2 linked regions of the Ovis aries genome follow. The protein of the gene in region 1 interacts with the protein of each later gene in a biochemical or structural test. Links are inferred from orthologs where the notes say so. Each region holds a gene or a part of one and is shown on either strand. Other genes may lie near its edges.

Region 1 (4,914 bases):
TGTTCCATGTCCAGTTCTAACTGTTGCTTCCTGATCTGCATACAGGTTTCTCAAGAGGCAGGTCAGGTGGTCTGGTACTCCCCTCTCTCTCAGAATTTTCCACAGTTTATTGTGATCCACACAGTCAAAGGCTTCGGCATAGTCAATAAAGCAGAAATAGATGTTTTTCTGGAACTCTCTTGCTTTTTCCATGATCCAGCGGGTGTTGGCAATTTGATCTCTGGTTCTCTGCCTTTTCTGAATCCAGCTTGAATATCTGCAAGTTCACGGTTCACGTATTGCTGAAGCCTGGCTTGGAGAATGCTGAGCATTACTTTGCTAGTGTGTGAGATGAGTGCAATTGTGCAGTAGTGTGAGCATTCTTTGGCATTGCCTTTCTTTGGGCTTGGAATGAAAACTGACCTTTTCTAGTCCTGCGGCCACTGCTGAGTTTTCCAAATTTACTGGCCTATTGAGTGTAGCACTTTCACAGCATCATCTTTTAGGATTTGAAATAGTTCATCTGAAAATCCATCACCTCCACTAGCATTGTTCATAGTGATGCTTCCTAAGGCCCATTTGACTTCACATTCCAGGATGTCTGGCTCTAGGTGAGTGATCACACCATCGTGATTATCTGGGTCGTGAAGATCTTTTTTGTACAGTTCTTCTGTGTATTCTTGCCACCTCTTCTTAATATCTTCTGCTTCTGTTAGGTCCATACCATTTCTGTCCTTTATTGAGCCCATCTTTGCATGAAATGTTTCCTTAATATCTCTAATGATCTTGAAGAGCTCTCTAGTCTTTCCCATTTTATTATATTCCTCTATTTCTTTGCACTGATCCCTGAAGAAGTCTTTCTTATCTCTCCTTGCTATTCTTTGGAACTCTGTATTCAAATGGGTATATCTTTCCTTTTCTCCTTTGCTTTTCACTTCTCTTCTTTTCACAGCTATTTATAAGCCCTCCTCAGACAGCCATTTTGCTTTTTTGCATTTCTTTTTCTTTGGGATGGTCTTGCTCCTACAGTGTCATGAACCTGCATCCATAGTTCATCAGGCACTCTATCAGATCTAGTCCCTTAAATCTATTTCTCACTTCCACTGAAATAATCATTAAAGATTTGATTTAGGTCATACCTGAATGGTCTAGTGGTTTTCCCTACTTTCTTAAATTTAAGTCTGAATTTGGCAATAAGGAGTTCATAATCTGAGCCACAGTCAGCTCCTGGTCTTTTTGCTGACTGTATATAGTTCTGTAAAATATCAACTATTAGGAAGAAAGGAAGGGGCAAGGAGAAGGAAGATAGAAGCAAGCAAGCAGGCAAATAATAAGTTCTACCCCAGGAGATAATTTTGAAGAGACTGAGATTATATTACCACTAAGATCTCATCCCTCCAGAGAGCAATTCTGAAACTGCAGCTTGAGTTCAATTTTTCTTTCTTTTCCCCCCAGAGATGAGTGGAGGGGGTTACAATCTAAAAACCAAGATTTTTAACTTCTAAGACAAGCTTCTGTTTCACAGGTATGTTTTATGTATGCTGAGACAGGGAAGTCTTCTCATATAGCAGTCACCTAATTTGTGTGGGATCTGGGAAAAGTTCATTTAACTCCAAAATTTAAAAGTGGTCTTTTTGAGAAATTCTACTTCGAGTTTTTATTTCCTTATCCAAACACACTGATGTATGTCACCTAAATATGGTGCTTATAAACCAAAGAAAAGACTTTCCCCTACCTTTTTAATATGCAGTCAACCGCTGACTTTTCGTGGCTCTTCCCCTCATCCAGCCCCACTGACTCCTTTTCCACAACCAAGGCCCTTCCTATCAGGATTATTTTGGGAGTAGTATGTTCTCTTAAAAAATTTTCCCAAGAAAAATTAGCACACCTTCCTCTCCACCTGGGGCCCTCCTAGTCTGCAAATGAGGTGACACCAGATGGGGAGGTCAGAAAATTCAAACCATTTCCCCTCCTAGAATTGGGAGTGCCACACTTTCAACCTCTTCTAGTGCCATCCCAGGAAGGTAAATGACCCAGGAAACTGGAACCCAGATATCAGGAATGCAAGAAAAATGGAAACGGCTTTACATTGGCTGTTTCCATCACTATACAATTATAATGAGAAATTAGAAAATCTCATTTCAACCATGTGCAGAGTTTAATACCTTATAAAAGTGTCCGCGGTTTGCTAAAGGAACAACAGGTGATTTTGCTTAGTTTCCCCAATAACAGGGAGAAAACCCCACTGATTTGCCTTCCCTGCAACCTGCCCTGAAAAGACAACCTGCATAAAGATGCCTTGAGGATCGGGACCCTGAAATCCCCCCAACCACTTCCTTACCCGGAAGGAAAATTCTAATCACCATCAAAAATTTTAAGAGGCCTCGTGAAGAGTGAGCATTTCCAAGCATCTGGATGCTTAGTCCATGGGAAACGGGAAGATGTGTCTTTCGGGGAACGTCTCTTAAATGCCAAGAGACTTTTCAAGTAGCTAGAGGTTCTGGCTCCAAAATTGCTTCAACTATTAACCCCACTAGAGTAGATGTAGATGCTTAAATCAATAGGACAGAATTGCATTTACCGCGCGAGAAAACGGCAGTTACAGTCTTTCTTCGACAAAGTGGGTGGCTCTGAAAAGAGCCTTTGGATTAACTGCCTATGCAGGCACTCATTTGGAGCTGGTGTATTTAGTGACGGCCTTGGTACCCTCAGACACAGCATGCTTGGCCAGCTCCCCGGGCAGCAGCAGGCGCACGGCCGTCTGGATCTCCCTGGATGTGATGGTCGAGCGCTTGTTGTAATGCGCCAGGCGTGACGCCTCGCCCGCGATGCGCTCGAAAATGTCGTTCACAAAGGAGTTCATGATACCCATGGCCTTAGATGAGATACCAGTATCTGGATGGACCTGCTTCAGAACCTTGTACACATAAATAGAGTAGCTCTCTTTACGACTGCGCTTGCGTTTTTTGCCATCTTTTTTCTGTGCTTTAGTGATGGCTTTCTTAGAGCCTTTTTTAGGAGCGGGAGCAGATTTAGACGGCTCAGGCATTGTTTTGCCCTAGAAACGTTAGATGATAGCCTCCGCGACTAAGATTACCAGTATGAGTTCAAAAACCAGATATTTATAGCGCTTCAATGTAAATGAGGAATGAAAAATTCTCACTTTTGATTGGGTAAGATCAGTACAGGTTCACTAAGGTCTGGAGGGAGGGGTTTATGCAAATAAGGGATACACATATTCTCTTTCTATTGGATAGAAAAACCTTCGTCCTTCTGACCAATAGGAGACCTAAGTGGCGCATCCCTCTACTGTCTATTAAAAAAATATTTTTATCCCCCCTTGGTCGTCCAGGGTTTTTTTTTTCCTGCTCACAAGTTTTGCTGTTGAGTTTTACAAAGTAACTATGTCTGGACGTGGTAAACAAGGAGGCAAAACTCGAGCTAAAGCCAAAACTCGGTCTTCCCGGGCTGGTTTACAATTTCTAGTGGGGCGAGTGCACCGCCTGCTCCGCAAGGGCAGCTATACCGAGCGGGTTGGAGCCGGCGCTCCGGTGTACTTGGCGGCGGTGCTGGAGTACCTGACGCCTGATATTCTGGAGCTGGCGGCAACGCGGCCCGGGACAAAAAGAAGACCCGCATCATCCCGCGTCACCTGCAGTTGGCTAACCGCAACGACGAGGAGCTGAACAAGCTGCTGGGCAAAGTCACCATCGCTCAGGGCGGCGTCCTGCCCAACATCCAGGCGGTGCCGCTGCCCAAGAAGACGGAGAGTCACCACAAGGCGAAGGGGAAGTAAAGCCTAGACAAAAGAAGAAACTTTTTAATAAACTATTCAAAGACTTTTCACAGCCATCCACATTTTTATTAAAAAAAAAAAAAAAAAGCTGGTAGCCAGGTTATGCTGCGTAGGTGGTTAATTGTAAAAAGACAAATGACATTAAAACAAAGACTCTGGAAATGTTCTCACAAGCATTATTTTACTGCATAGCTGGCGAAACCTTTGTAATCCACAAGGGCCTTTATAAAGAGAAGGGGAGACTAGAGCGGTACTTAGTCTTGAGGATAACAAAAAGCAATTACTCTTGCCAAGATTATTTTTCTCTTGCCTTTGCTTTCAAAATTTTAAAACAATCCCCCCGCCCCCCCATGGAAGTTTATCAGGATCCAGTGTATATATGTCATCAATTCCACCTTTGCATGCATGTGATTTTTTAAAATCATCCACCCAGGGACCCTGGCATGTAGTTTTACAGAAGATAAACTCAGAATTAGGGGAGATCTGATGACCAAAGTTAGAAAGTGGTAGTCCTGGTAGTTCGAGATTTACTTAAAGCTGACCCAACTGTGGGGGAGAAAGATCAATTGTATTCAATTTAGGATTGGAGCAGAAATACTGACAATCTTGAGAACGTGTCAAGAATTAAGAATATCAGGTCCCACCCGTATACTGAATCAAAAGTTAACATGGTGGGTAAATGGCTCGTTATGTACATTGAAGTTGGCAATAAGATGAAACAATTTAGGAAAATTCCTTCAGGTCGCCTAGATTTAAAAAAAAAGGCATAGGAAATAGGTGTAGAAGTAATTCATCCAATCAGACTCTCTCTTAATTAACCGGTCTCTCCCGGTCACTTTTTAGCCAATGGTTTTATCGCGCGGTACTTTTGAAAAATTCCGAGACCAATCAGAGTGTTTCCAACTATATTTAAAGGCAACTACCTGCGCTTGTACCAGACCTTTGGTTTGTGATCACCCATTTGTGATGGCTCGCACTAAGCAGACTGCCCGCAAGTCCACCGGCGGCAAGGCGCCGCGCAAACAGCTGGCCACTAAGGCGGCCCGCAAGAGCGCGCCAGCCACCGGCGGCGTGAAGAAGCCGCACCGCTACCGGCCCGGCACGGTAGCTCTGCGCGAGATCCGCCGCTACCAGAAGTC
Region 2 (5,270 bases), on another chromosome or scaffold:
AACTTGTTCAAAATTGGGAAAGGAGTACATCAAAGCTGTATATTGTCACTCTGCTTATTCCAAGCTGGATGAAGCACAAGCTGGAATCAAGAGTGCCAGGAGAAGTATCAAAAACATCAGATACACAGATAATACCACCTTAATGGCAGAAAGTGAAGAGCAACTAAAGAACCTCTTGATGAAGCTGAAAGAGGAGAGTGAAGAAGCTGGCTTAAAACTCAACATTCAAAGACAAAGAAGATGGCACCCGGTCCCATCACTTCATGACAAATAGAAGGGGAAAAAGTGGAAGCAGTGACAGATTTTATTTTCTTGGGCTCCAAAATCACTGCAGACAGTGACTGTAGCCACGAAATTAAAAGACACTTGATCCTTGGAAGGAAAGCTATGACAAACCTAGACAGTGTATTAAAAGCAGAGACATCACTCTGACGACAAAGGTCTGTATAGTCAAAGCTATGGTTTTTTCAGTAGTCATGTACAGATGTGAGAGTTGGTCCATAAAGAAGGCTGAGTGCTGAAGAATTGATGCTTTTGAACTGTGGTACTGGAGAAGACTCTTGAGGGTCCCTTGGAAGGCAAGGAGATGAAATGTTAATCCTAAAGGAAATCAACCCTGAATATTCATTGGGTGGACTGATGCTGAAGCTGAAGCTCCAATAATTTGGCCATCTGAGGCAAAGAGCTGACTCACTGGAAAAGACTGATGCTAGGAAAGATTGAGGGCAGATGGAGAAGGGGGAGACAAAGGATGAGATGGCTGGATGGCACTGCAGTTTAAATGTACCTGAATTTGAGCAAGCTCTGGGAGACAGAGAAGGACAGAGGAGCCTGGTGTGCTACAGTCCATGGAGTTGCAGAGTTGGACACAACTGAGCGACTGAACCTCAACAACAACAATAGGGGAAGTAAGCCCTGATTCCAATATTTAGTTCTTAGGTTCTTCAGCTCAGGGTATTCAAGACAAGACTTAAGAATACAGTTAAAATTTCCATTTCTGCTTTCAAACTGCACCTACCACACTGGGAAATGAAAGGAGTCCCTGACAGTGAAGCCTTGTTCATCTGAAATCTATTCCAATCTTCAGAACCTGTTTCTATTCTGTAATAGATGGCGGTCTTCCAAACATATTTGTAAGTTCACGCCTGGGAAAATTCCTTTCCATCCTTCTAAGCCCAGCTTAGAAGTCATGCTCTTTCTGAAGCCTTCTTGGGTTCTCTAGGTTTGCAATAGTTACAAAGAAGCCTAGGGTCATTCCTTCTACTCTTTAATAAGAATGTTTGTCTGTCTAACCTCCCACAGAGTTCCACAAGAACAGGAACTGAGTCGCATTCACGTCATTCTTTCTCCAGAGTTCAGCCCAGTGACTGGCACAGGGCCGTAGGCGTTCAGTACGTTTTTTGTGTGACATAAATGAAAAGAGAATCGTCAAAAGCAGTCCTGCTAAACGAGTCCAGGTACAGCCCAAATTTCTCCGGGCGCCCCTGCCCGCCCTCCTGTCACTCGCTGAACCGTCTCAAAGCTCACCGTCCAAGGCCTCGTCGGGAGCCGCCGTCCCCCGGTCCTGTGCTTCCGGCTGTACCTGAGAGCCGAAGAGCTCAGTCACCAGCTCCCTCATCTGAGCCACACCGGACAACAAGCTCTGGAAAGGGTCGGTGACGCCCGGCGCCTCACAAGGCACCCGCAGCTGCTGTCGCTGCCCTTCCAGTCCGACGTACTCGCCCAACAGCTCCATAGCGACCGCTACGCTTCAGGAGCGCGCCACAGTGAGTCGCCACCGGAAACGGAAACCAGCCCGCCGCGGGCGCAGGCGCGGAGAAGGGAGAGGCCTGACTTCCGTTTGTCGGAAGTCGCTCCTCCCCCTTCCTTCGCTCCCTGTCTTTGGGATTGGTGTCTGGCACCGAGGCCCCGCCTCCTCCGGCCCCGCCCCTCGCGGACGCTTTTCCCGCCTCCGCCGGGGCCGGTCGGCGGTCCTGGTGACAGTTGAGGATGGCTGGAGCTGAGGAGCCAGCTGGGCGACAGTCGGAGTTGGAGCCCGTGGTATCGTTGGTCGATGTACTGGAGGAGGACGAGGAGCTGGAGAATGAGGCTTGCGCCGTCCTGGGCGGCAGTGACTCGGAGAAGTGCTCCTACTCGCAGGTGGGCGCGCGGCTCGGCCCTCGCCTCCGCTGAACCTCCCTTTCCCCACCGCCTTACCCTCTCTCTTCCCGCCGGCCGCGGCCGGCCCCCTGTGGTGGTCCAGCGCAGCTGTTGGTCGTAGGCTTCCCCATCCCAGGCCCAGGTGCCCTTTTACACTTAGTCTTCTGAGCCCCTTCTAACCTGTGGCCAGCAGGACGCCCCTCCTTTCTCGATTTTCCTCTGTCAGGCCCCCGACGTTTCTACGGTTTTGGCCCCAGAGCAGCTGCTCTTTCCTTCCTTCCTCGTCTCTTCTCTGTGCCCCGGCCGCTTTTCACCAAACCAACCCCGTGACCTTTCACATCCTGAGTATCTTTGTCCATACTTTTCCCATCCTCAGAGTATTTGCTGGGTACTAAACGGAAGAGTCAAATAATTAAAGGAGAGAGCTCTGGGTTTGAAAATCTCTCCGCGTAGGCTGGACTCCTGGACAGCTGGTTCCTCTGCAGTTTAGTTTGACAGGTGCTAGCTGGTTTTTTTTTTTGGCGAGAGGAAGCAAGTACCACGTCTCTCTGCAGTCGGCCCTCCAGGGGCATAGACCGGAACCCGAACAGCTGGTGGCACTGGCAAAGGAAAGGAGGGGAGGAGAGATGGCATTCGGAAGATGGTGGGAACAAGGACTGGAGGGGGTGTGACGTAGTGTTTGGTGACTCATTCTATGTTTCTAGGTTCAAAAATGGAGAAAGGTGGTAGAAGAAAACTAATGAGAGATGGTACTTGATAGGAAGAAGGTTATCTTCCAGGCAGGTGGAGTGGAACATTGCAGGATGGGGAGAGAGACATGGGGTCTTTACGTGGTGTTGCTTGAGATCACAATACCAGTTGTTATCAATGACCAGTTGAGTTTACACTGCAAAGTGGTTAGATTTTTTTTTTTTTAATACACCTGGCTTCAGAGGTATTTAATGTTGGCTGATATTTTAAAACCTTTGGTCGCCACTGGAACAACTTTTTCTCTGTTTGCCTTTTTTAAAAAAGCCTGTAAGTTATTTTTGAAACGTAGTTAGATTTTTAAAACAGACTTCCTTAAAAAATTTTTTTGTATTGTTGTAAAATATGTGGAAAAGTGCAGAAACCATGTATAAGTCTTGGGAAAGCAAAACTGAAAACACCTGCAGGTACATACCACACAGATCAAGAAATAGAACATTACCAGCATCACAGAAGCTTTCCTGGGACTCCCTTCTTCTCAGAAGATGGCAGCCATTATCAGGATTTGCTTTTCTCTCGACTTTTTATTTTGAAATGTTTAAAGTCTACAGTTAAAATGAAAAAATAATATTATGAACACCTGTGTACCTTCACATATATTCACTTTTTAATATTTTACCACATTTGTTTTATCTTTTACTTCTTCACTGTAATATACTTTGTTTTTGTTTCCTGAACCAGTTGAAAATAAATTTCAGACCATGACACTTCAACTCTAAATATGTCAGCATACATCTTAAAATCAAAGGGATTCATTTAATGCACTGGTTTTCTCTTTGGTGGAATCACAAGCATTTTCCAAAATTAAAGTATGATTATTCCTTACATAAGCTTACACACATTCTCCTGTATTTTCATGTGTTAAAATAGTTAAGCAGACCGGTTTATTCACAGCTGACTAAAAATGTTAACTTCTATCACTTTGAGAAAAAGTTATATGAAACGTGTATGAAACCTGCAACAGTGTTTTGGTATTCTATTGTATATGCTTTTTTATTAGTCTCAGTGGCTTTTACAGGAAGATCTTGACCCCAGATCATCTGATTTCAGTTATTTCTCAGATCATAGTGTGGGCATTAGGTTGCTCTGCCAGTGTTTCATCAGTTTCCGGTCTTTTTCCATTTTGGGGCTGTCTTTAGGGTTCAGTAAAGAGACAAGCACTGTATGCCTGCAGTACCTGCACTCCAGAGGGAGAAGAACCGGCAGGAATTTGCCTGGCTTGCAGTTACGAATGTCATGGAAGTCATAAACTATTTGAGCTGTACACGAAAAGGTAAACTGGTCAGAGATTGATGCTGGATGCTTTTCAAATGTTTAGATTCTTTTCCAGTTGCACTTTTTTTCTTAATCATGTTTTTGCATTCAAAGTAGTTGTGCCCTGGTAAAATTTAATGCAACTGTTTTATATAATGTAATCGGAAAGAACAGTTTTTCCAGGGGACCTTTTAAAATATAATTATGAGGCAAACTCAGACTACTCCTGCTATCCTTCCACTGTTTTATGTGTGTGTGTGAGATACAGATATTTGTCTTTATGCATGTTAATTTCTTGGAGAAGGAAATGGCAATCCACTCCAGTATTCTTATCTGGAGAATTCCATGGACAGGGGAGCCTGGTGGGCTACGGTCCGTGGGATCACAAAGAGTCAGACATGACTGGGCACACAGCACACACATGTTAATTTATAGAATTATTAAATCTTTTATTGTAATATGCTTGGGAAAATTGCGGATTGGATACATGAACAACAACCAAGTCCAATTTTTAGATCCTAGAAGCTAATTGAAAGGGAAGAGGCTATGATATGAATGTAGTCTTTAGACTTAGAAGAAAAATTAAAATTGGCTCTTCCTCCTTTCTTTCAGAAATTTTCGTTGTGATTGTGGAAACAGCAAGTTTAAAAATTTGGAATGCAAATTGTTTCCTGTAAGTAACCACAGTAAACGATAAATGCATAGAAAGTAGCTAAGATTTGTATTTGTCCTAGGGGATAAAACCAAGAATTTTCAAAAAGGAAGTTCTATGCTTCTTTGCCAATGGGCAAATCAATGTTAGACTGTACCCCAGTTTTTTATTTGTTGGAAAGCTAAGTAACCTGTTCAGAGCCTACCTATAGATTGTAATTAATATGAAAGGTTTTGGGGGTAGTGTTCTAAAGTGATTCAGGTTCAGTTGTGTTGATTGTGCTCATGCTCTAAGGCTTTTTAAAGAAAAGGGTATGACTTTTAAAACAATAAATAAAACTGGGCAATAATGAGCATGGGCTTTTGCAAAAGTTTTTCACTGCTTTTTGGATAATAAAGACTATCTTCTACAATAACTTAAGTGAAATACCAAAAATGAAACAGAAAATAAGGGACTTTACAGTGTGTGAAGTCGCTCA

The links.
Region 2: of the proteins of histone H2B type 1-B (region 1) and UBR7, one has a biochemical effect on the other in vitro, tested with the Homo sapiens proteins (2 studies listed by BioGRID, with this or other methods). The link is inferred for Ovis aries from reciprocal best matches to the Homo sapiens genes H2BC3 and UBR7.

The regions. Positions count from the first base shown.
Region 1 is NC_056073.1:30,871,621-30,876,534, reverse strand, and holds the start of histone H2B type 1-B, read right to left. Parts: upstream 3,075-4,914; 5' UTR 3,029-3,074; coding exon 2,648-3,028; 3' UTR 1-2,647. UniProt on the Homo sapiens protein: Core component of nucleosome. Nucleosomes wrap and compact DNA into chromatin, limiting DNA accessibility to the cellular machineries which require DNA as a template.
Region 2 is NC_056071.1:55,649,950-55,655,219, forward strand, and holds the start of UBR7 (putative E3 ubiquitin-protein ligase UBR7), read left to right. Parts: upstream 1-1,934; 5' UTR 1,935-1,989; coding exon 1,990-2,139; intron 2,140-4,025; coding exon 4,026-4,159; intron 4,160-4,752; coding exon 4,753-4,813; intron 4,814-5,270. Other genes in the region: EKC/KEOPS complex subunit GON7, read right to left, coding at 1,528-1,735. UniProt on the Homo sapiens protein: E3 ubiquitin-protein ligase which is a component of the N-end rule pathway. Recognizes and binds to proteins bearing specific N-terminal residues that are destabilizing according to the N-end rule, leading to their ubiquitination and subsequent degradation.